2 linked regions of the Mus musculus genome follow. The protein of the gene in region 2 interacts with the protein of the main gene of each other region in a pairwise test. Links are inferred from orthologs where the notes say so. Each region holds a gene or a part of one and is shown on either strand. Other genes may lie near its edges.

Region 1 (4,441 bases), on a different chromosome or scaffold from region 2:
CCACAGATGTGCCCTTCTAATAGATCAGCTATGTCACTGAGCAGCGTTTATGCCTGAGACAGGTACATATAATTGATATAAGTGATCTAAAGGGAAATGCAGAAATAATCTTGCAACATTTAGCAGATCACTAACATCTTTAGTTACTAAGATGGAACAGATTGCAACAAAGAGTTGACCTGCTGAGCCACTGAGAAAGGAGAGCCCATTAACAAACAGGAAGTCTGTCAGATATCCTGGGCTTGCTCCTCCTAGGCAATCAGAATCAACCGAGCATCACTTAACTCCAGGCAGTTTAGAACACTTCATTCTAGACCTGGAGCCACAAAGGGCTCCCGAGAAAAACACGCCTCTCTTAGATCAGCCTCTTTTACTTTCCTTTATTCTTATGATGAGGTGTCTGTTCTCACGTCCCCAATTCCAGCTGAGAAAATGGGGCAAATACACACTTGATTGTTTTAGGTTGGCACAATTATGTTTGAAATATAAGATTTCTAAATTACAGGTACTAGAAACATTTTTGGTGTCTGATAGAGCTAAGGTTTTTAGTCTCCCCCTTTCATATGTATATCCAGTTAACACTACTTCTATGATTAAACTAATATCTTTAGTTCTTACCTGCTAATTTTTCAGTCCAAACCTATGTTAAAACAAAGAAGAAAGGCTCAATCTGAGACACTAAAATGGTTCGTTCACTCCAGAAATGGATTTGAGGGGCAGGAGAGGGGAAAGAGGGAGTGAGGGAAGGGAAAGAAAGGATTGCCAGAGCAGGTGGGGGAGGAAAGATGTTAAGAATCGATTTATAAGCACGGCTCAATAAAATGTAACAAAGTTTATTGGGCATAATCTTTCACAGTAGCCATTTCAAGAAATAGAAAGGACAAAGGTTTGAGTGTTTTCACATTCCAGGAGCAGTCATAAATATTAGGCAGCTCGTCCAAGAACTCCAGGTAAAGTCAGAGAACCATAGCTGTTTTAAGGTCTTTAAAGTTCAAAGTTAACATAGTCCCTTTTGCTTGGAAAACCTTTTTCCAGCCCTTTACCTGAGGTAATGTCTACCTCAGAGGTGAAGGGGAGAGAGGTAAGCCAGGAGGGGTCATGGTGGGGTGGGGGGGATGGGAGGAGAGGGGGGCTGAGGTCAGGATGTAAAGTGAATAAATAACTAATGGGGGGCTGGAGGAGGGAAAGTTAGGGTAGACTGGCTTTGTTCCCAACTTAGATTCCGAATTCGAGTTCCTTAGGAACACAGTTGCCAAGGAGAAGGAAGCCCCTAGGAGTGTCTCAGCTTCACTCCAGAGAACAAAGAGTTGGGAGAAGGCTCTACCGTAGGCTGCTCTTCCAGCGCAAGGCGAAGGAGAAGACTATGGGTTGAGAGGGAACCTGTGGGGGAACTGAGGGAGGGATTTGGGGTGAAGGAAGGATCAGGCTTCCCCGGGTTGGAGGGGGGAGGTTCCGCCCTCGCCCTTTCCACTGCGGCTCCTTGTTGTGAGGCCGCGGTCGCTTTGGAATTGGAAATGCAGCGCGGCGTGTTCCGAGCACCGGGTCCCCGGAGCAGTGGGTGTCGGGCCGCCGGACCCTGACCCTCCCTCCGCCCCGGTCAAGCCGGGCGCGCACAAGCACCTGCCGGGCCACGCTCGCGGCTGCGCCGGCCGCCCGCCCGCCCGCTCCGCCCCGCCGGCCGCCGTGTGTTTACGTGGAGACGAAGATGGCGGCGGTGACCGCGGGGCCCGTGCAGGCCGGCACGAGTCGCCGGTGAGCGCCCAGCGTGTCCCGGGTGGCCACGGAGCTCTGTCCGCCTCTTTCTAAACAGATCTTTCCTCTCCACTGCGTCCCAGCCTACCCTGCAGACGCCATGGAGGACGAGGAGAGGCAAAGGAAGCTGGCAGCCGGCAAGGCGAAGGTAGGAGCGCGGCGGCCACGGGCCGCGTCGGGAGGCGGTGACCCGGGGCGGAGGCTGGGGGAGAGGCCGGGCCGCGGGGCCGGGGCCGGGGCTGGGGCTGGGGCTGGGGCCGGGGCCGGGGCTGCGGCTGGGGCTAGGGGGCTGCGGCTGGGGCTGAAGAGCCGCCCTCTCTTGCTGCTGCTGGAGACCTGATGACTGCACCGCTCGGCTTGGTTCCTTTCTCCCCGGTGCCACACAAAACCCCCTCTCACCCCGGCTGTTAACTGCTAAGGAATTGCTTCGCAGCCACCACCCTTTCACTTTCTGAAGGGAGTTCAGGGAGTCGGCCAGGCTTTGTGCTTTCCGGAGCAAGGGTTTAGGGTTTTCTTTATTCCGGGAACACCCCTGCGCTGACCATCAGCCTGCCTTCTTGAGGTGTCACGCTGGCACTCTTGGTGTGTGTGTGTGATTGGCCTGTGACAGCTGCCTCGGCAGTGTCTTGAGTGTGCCACAAGTGCCAGCTGTGAACTTGGCTGTAGGGGCGTTCTTTTTGTTTTTTGTTTTTTGTTTTTGTTTTTGCCGTTCTTTGTATATTCGTGCTTGAGGTCTTTGTCATGGCAGGCTCTTTTGTAATGTGTGGAATGGAACTTCGGGGCATCGAAAGGTTCCATAGACTAAAACACCTACAGAATTGCTGTTTTAGATAATGTATTTGTTATTATGTATTTGGTAAGTTTGATTTTGTGTGGGTATGCGGGTATGGCAAGTCATGTATAATCCAGACTTATATGTAGGCATCTTCCAGTGGGCTTACTAAATAATTTGACACTGTTATGAATGGAATAGAATGATTTCTTTGTAAAATTACCTGTTTGAGCTTACCTTTGGACCTCCTTGCTCCCAAAAATGAAGTTACCTTTAAGATATAGTGCCTTTTTTTAAGACCTTATTGTTACTGGGAATAATTAAGTTATATTTTAAGCTTATTGTACTTGTTAGTTTGGAACTGTGATATGGAAGTGTTGTAAGCTAAATAAACCCCTCTCCTCTCCAAATTGCTTTGGTCATGATGTTTCATCATAGCAATAGTAACCCTAACGAAGGCACCTACCTTTCTTTTTTCTTCTCTCACATCATTAACAAAGGAAGCAGGTCAGTAATGAGTGAAGGGCCCTACTGGAGAGAGACGTTGGTACATGCTCAGCATTAGTTTGTTAAAGGAGTGTGTGCAATAGCTAATCTTGTATTTCTAGAATATAGTTAGTTGGTTTCCCATAAGCATCCTCTGTGTAAGGTCAAGATTTGAATGTGTCTCTGTGGCATTCTATAAATGGAGGGAAAGCCCAGCTTAGCTTCCCATTGTGCACCCCAAGGGACTGACCGGGCTCAGAGCATTGAAGGAATTGGAGGTGTAGTGTGCAGTCTTCCTCTCTTGTTCTCCCACCCTTTCTTTCTTTAGCAGAATCTTAGACTATAGTCCAGGTGAGCCTAGAGATCAATGTGTAGTCCAGGCTGGCTGGCTTCAGACTCTAGGGCAATTCTGTGTTAACCTTCAGAGCGATGGAATTCTGTGTGTGAGCTACTGTGTCCAGATAAGGTAGATGTCTTATTGACTACTTCATAATTTCTACTCCCTTCCCTAAATATATTCTGTGCTAAATATGTGTGAGGGACTCCTGCTGAGCTTTGTCTGCCTTCACTAGACCTGTCTTAGGGTTAAGTTGCTGCCAATAGATACTGGATTTATCTTTAGAAGAGATTGTGAATGTGGTTTCTACACATGTCTCTTTGTCTTTCAAAATGCTGTCTTTGTGGGGTTGGGGAGATAGGTGGTCTATTCACTGTGTGAACTGCTTGCTGTACAGGCATGTACACCGGGGTTCATAGTTGTAGCGCCCACACAAAGCTGGACGGCTGGACATGGTGGCATGCATCTGTAATGCAGGGCTTGGGAGAAAGGGACAGACAGACCCGTGGGACGTCCTGTCCAGTCCTCTAGCCAAAACACCAAGCTTGAGTGTCATCTGGACACCCTGTCTCAAAACATACTATACAAGGTGGATGGTGACAAGGGACAGCAAATGTGTCCCTGCACATAATTCATAGCTCTGCCTTTGGGGATGCAGTCTCTCTCCTAAAATTACTTTATTTAAAATATTACTTTGTCATAGAATTGCACCTACTCTCCCCATGAGGGTTATACCCATGTGTCTTATAAGTAGTTCTGGTAATGTAACAAACAGACACTGAGATAGCCTATGAAGACAACATGAAGAAAATAGTTTTCTCAGTTACCTGAAGGAATGTTCTGCAGCCATTACGCTTGTAGAGCCTCAAATGAACATGGGTCATAAAGTGCACCTTGTGTTTTCAAAAGCACTACATGTGTCTTTCATCTGTATAAACATGCTGCCTCTAATTAGGAGTGAAAAAAAAAACCGTATTGTGAATATAATCAGTGACTGGGGGGTGTAGCTCTGTGGTGCAGTGCAGAGCCCTGGATCCAGCTGACTTCATAAAGTCCCGTTTTATGGCAGGAATTGAAAGTACAGATGTGATGAT
Region 2 (4,414 bases):
TTCTTCACATCTCAGCCTACTCCTCTATAATAAAGTATTTTAAGATCTGGGAGGCTGGAAGTTTGAGCTCATCCTGGCATGTATAATGAGTTCCAGGACAGTCTGGGCTGCATAGTGAGAGCCTATCTCAAGAAAACAAACAAATAACCGAGGTTGGGTCTCATTTAAAGAGGGGGAGAGGAACAGTTAAAACCAGAACAGTACAGTTTGGTAATTATGGAAATTTATATCTACACACACTTGGACTCTCACTACCTCAGGCAAAAACTGCAGGGTTTACAGAAATTATAACTGCTGTCATTAGAATGAGTTTATCAATCCTATTTACCAGCAGGACCCTAGAACAGTCCTCCTGATTTGCCACCTCCAGCCACCCCTACCCTCACCCCCACTCAGCAGACAAGGAAACCAAAGCTCAGATCGATCTCACAGCCAGCACAGGGCTGGACCTGGTTATCACAGTCTCAGGTTCTAAAGCCAGCACTGGGCTGGACCTGGTTATCTTTCGTTCCAAGAAGCAGCTGCTAGCTCGCTCTCTGGCCCACTCACTGTGTTCTACTGGGTGGATAGCGATACAATTAGAATGTGGTCTATTCATCTAAGTCAGCAGATTCCCACATCTCCTCTCAGAACTCTTCCAAGTGCAACTGTACTCAGAACTCCAGTTAATAAAGCTGACAAACACCTAAAGAACTCAGGCTGAAACGAGTGCAAGTGTGAGCGTGTATGTGTGTGTGTGTGTGTGTGTGTGTGTGTGTGTGTGTGTGTGTGTGTAGGTGTAGAAGAGAACTGTCCAGCCAAGAGCCCACTTGACTCCAGGGAGGCTCTCTGAAGGCTCCTGGGATCGTGGAGCACAACACCAAAACCCTAGATGAAGCCAACTAAGTAGCCTCCCCTCCCCCAAATTAGATGAACTCCACATTAAGGCAGCCTTGTTTGTATAATGCATCTTTCATTTCTTTGTTTCCCATCACATTCAGCCCTCGTTATCAACTCAGAGGTGGACAAGGCAGGGCGCATCATCCTTAATTTGCAGATGAGGAATTCAAAGCCAAATGGAGAGAAGCGACCGGCCAGAGGTATTCCAGGTCAATTTCCGGCCAAGTGCAGACTGGAAGTAGAGTCTGTCTCCATGAATTCGGTGTGACCTGGCAGGGAAGGGGCTATCTACTGGAAATTGCTGCTGACCTTTGATCCAGAAAGTGGACAATCAGCTACTTGGCCACTGAGAGAGCTGAGTGTAGCCCCAAGGTTCCCTGTGCCAAGGCACTGTCCCAAAGCAGATGGCAGTGAACGGGGCAAAGGAGCCCAGTGCCACTGAGCAGACTAGCCACAGGATTCTGGCTGTAGAGAGGCCATTTGCATCGGAGCCGGGTCCTGCTGAGCACAGGGCAGAGGAGGCAGGAGCAGGCAGCATGCCTTCCGCCTTCATCTGCAGCAAGCAAAGGCGCTTGCAAAGGGACTGCTGCAGCAAGAGCAGACCTGAGCATCAGCTCGACTTTGCTTTCCACCTCAGTGATGCTTAGAGAGCCCTGAAACCAGAGGCAGCTGATAAATGCCTGGATGATGTGCCCCCCCCCCCCCCACACACACACTGCAGAGCATCTATGAACTGAGTCGGAGCATGTGTTGAGGGCAGACAACACTTAATTATCACTTAGGCTTTAATTAGCACTTAATTATTAACACTTAATCCATCTGTAAAATGGGGACACTAATACCTGTTTCATAGGGATGCTGGGAGGATTAATTAATGCGTGCAGCCCACTTTGAAGATGCAGAGCCTTGGAAGAGTACTCAGCAGCGGCATTAATCACCACAGCTGATGCACTCCTTTTCCTAATGAGATCCTGTCTTCCTCTATGCTCCTTCCTCTCCTTTCCAATGGCTGTCTCCTCAACTTTTCCCTAGTACTGAAACACTTAGCTCTGTGTTTCCCCGACAGGCAGGGGATTTCCCATTTGGGAAACCGGCTATTTACAGCCATCTTCCGCACTTTAATTTTCTATTATGTCCTCTGAATATGTCAATGCCTTCCCAGTAAATATTTTGATGTGCGCTCTTGCAGTAGCTCTGTGGATGCTGAATGGGACAGCTGCTCTCTGTATTAGGGGATTCCAGATGTGGTTTCCAACCACCAGGATCATCTGTGCCAATGCCTGGACTTTTCTTGGGAAAGGGCTAAAGATCATCTAGCTGCCTCTGGGGGCAGTAGTGAGTCACCTAACCCTTAGGTTGGCAATAATGCTCCTGCAAAGACCCCAGATCTTTATCTTAGCCACGTATGTCTTTAGAATGAAAAATGTCTCCTTAGGCGCTGAAAAAGAAGCTGCCAGGAATGGTTTCTTTCCTCCCGTCTGGAACTTCAGGACCTTGGCCAGCTCCTCCGACCGAAAGTGACTCGAGATTACAGAAATGGGGATGGGGAGGAGATATGTGTGCAGGGCTTAACACTGGGCCAGAGCATTTCAACCCAAAGTCAGACTTCATTTCCCCTTTCTCCCTTTCTTGATTATCAACCAAACAGGGGACTACTCACTCTTCTTGGAAGCTGACAGCTGCGGTCACGGGAGCAGAGTGCTTCTCCAGCGAGGTCCTGGGCTGCAGGGATTCTGGCAAGCCCTGAACTCGCTTCCAGATGTCATGGCAAATCTTGTCTAAGCTATCCTGGGGTGTGTCCTGGTGGATCCAGACATATCTGGGGAATGGCCCCAGGGCGGAGGGACGCTTGGCCACGAGGGCTGAGGATGGAGGGAGCCCATTTCCGCTGGCCATCCTCTTTCTTTCTTTCCGGAAGCCCCTTTGTCCACCCAGGGCTGGGAGACAAAGGGACTGTGGTCCACCAGCCCTCATTCACCAGAAAGGGAGCTGAAGACAGGGCCGGGGAAGTAGTCAGTTCTGGCTGGCTGTTGCTCCAGCCAAGGGATGGGTTTCAGAGGCCTTTGGATGGGGTAGGGATGAGGGGTAGAGGGCAACTTTCTTTTGGGGAGGGGGGCTTAAGTTGACTTGTTTCTATTTGCTCTTTCCTGGCTTTTGCCCCCCTCCCCCTCTCCCGTAGAAGAAAATATTTAAAAGTCAACAAAAACCAGTAACTTAGTAACCGTGGAATGCCCCGGAACTCAGGAACCAAGCGCCTGGGCGGGCAGAATGACATCTGGGAACGACTGGAGGGGAGGACTGGCTCTCCCCACAAAACCCAGCACTCCCCAGTTGTGACACCCCTGTGACACCTTTCAGGGCCTGGGACTCCTTTCAGGGCCTGGGAATCAGCCCATTCTAGCCTGCCAAGCCACCAGAAGGGCAGGATAAGGGTCAGACACTACACTAGACTGGGAGGGGGCGGGCCATGGGACTGTCTCCTCCTGCCTTCCCTAAGGTTCGGTGTACACGGAGGGCTAACGGCCCTCGACCACTGCAGGTCCTGGCTTTAGCTCTCCCGACTGCCCCCTTCTGTCCCTCTCTCTGCTACTGCTGCTCTGCCTCCCCAAAAAGAGATCTCCAATGCGGTGCTGTGCTAGTAGTCAGTCGGCCTGGCCCAGGTCCTCAGCAAACACTTGTCGTGTCCCCGCGCAGAGCTGCGACCCGCACCGCAGAGGGTCCCAACCCTTAAAAGGGCTCCGATTGGGCAGGGCAGGCCCGGGCGGGGTCAGCGGATTTGCGTGTCAGTCGCTCCCACACTCCTGCCGTCGAGAGCTGGGATTCTTTCAGTGGGTTCAAGCGCAACGGCTGGGTGCGTGGGAAGTCGTGGGAGGGCGGCACGGGCCGGGCGTTCGTCTCCTAAGACCCGCAGGTGGAGTGGGGGCGGGGTGCAACTGGCAAAACCCCAGGGAGCTTCCTCTTAGAAGGAAGTTTCCATCTCATTTCCATTTCACCACTGCATACAACCTCAGAGGTTGTCTAGAAGTGGGGGACCCTGCCCCTTTGTCCGCTGGCTTTAATCCTAACTGCCATCCCCTGAGAACACCTAAGGCCGAGGGCTGGCTTCAAACCTGATCTTGTTCGCTCTCGCGAGCTCGTACTCCTTTTCATTCGGCGCACAGGATGGGAGGAAACTGAGTCTCCAAGTTACAAATGGCTGTGTCCTGAGTTCAAGAAGCGAAGCTCGGGACTAGACATGATTTCATGCCCATGGCTAGCTCCCAAGCTGGATCCAGCACCAGGCAGGCAGAGGTAGGGTTACAAATCACACCTTTTACTAGGGATCGGTAGTCGCCCCCACCCCCTCCAGAGAAAAGCTTCACCTTTGAGAAAGCCTGACCTTGCCAGGTATTCCCTGGTCCCCCAAAGCCAAAGCCATGGTTACATTTTCCCACCCTGGAAAACAGTGTGGGAGGTGGAGAAAGAAGCAGTAGAGGCAGATAGCCTTGGACTGGAGAAGCCAGTCACAGTGATTTGATCATCACTGTATTTCTTT

Evidence for each region.
Region 1: the proteins of CK137956 (region 2) and Akap9 interact in binary tests that used the Homo sapiens proteins (3 or more experiments, as listed by UniProt). The two-hybrid records come from large-scale screens. The link is inferred for Mus musculus from reciprocal best matches to the Homo sapiens genes C1orf94 and AKAP9.

What each region holds. Positions count from the first base shown.
Region 1 is NC_000071.6:3,926,591-3,931,031, forward strand, and holds the start of Akap9 (A-kinase anchor protein 9), read left to right. Parts: upstream 1-1,595; 5' UTR 1,596-1,852; coding exon 1,853-1,900; intron 1,901-1,998; exon of another isoform or gene 1,999-4,441. UniProt on the Homo sapiens protein: Scaffolding protein that assembles several protein kinases and phosphatases on the centrosome and Golgi apparatus. Required to maintain the integrity of the Golgi apparatus. Required for microtubule nucleation at the cis-side of the Golgi apparatus.
Region 2 is NC_000070.6:127,967,982-127,972,395, forward strand, and holds the start of CK137956 (uncharacterized protein C1orf94 homolog), read right to left. Parts: upstream 2,861-4,414; 5' UTR 2,854-2,860; coding exon 2,540-2,853; intron 1-2,539.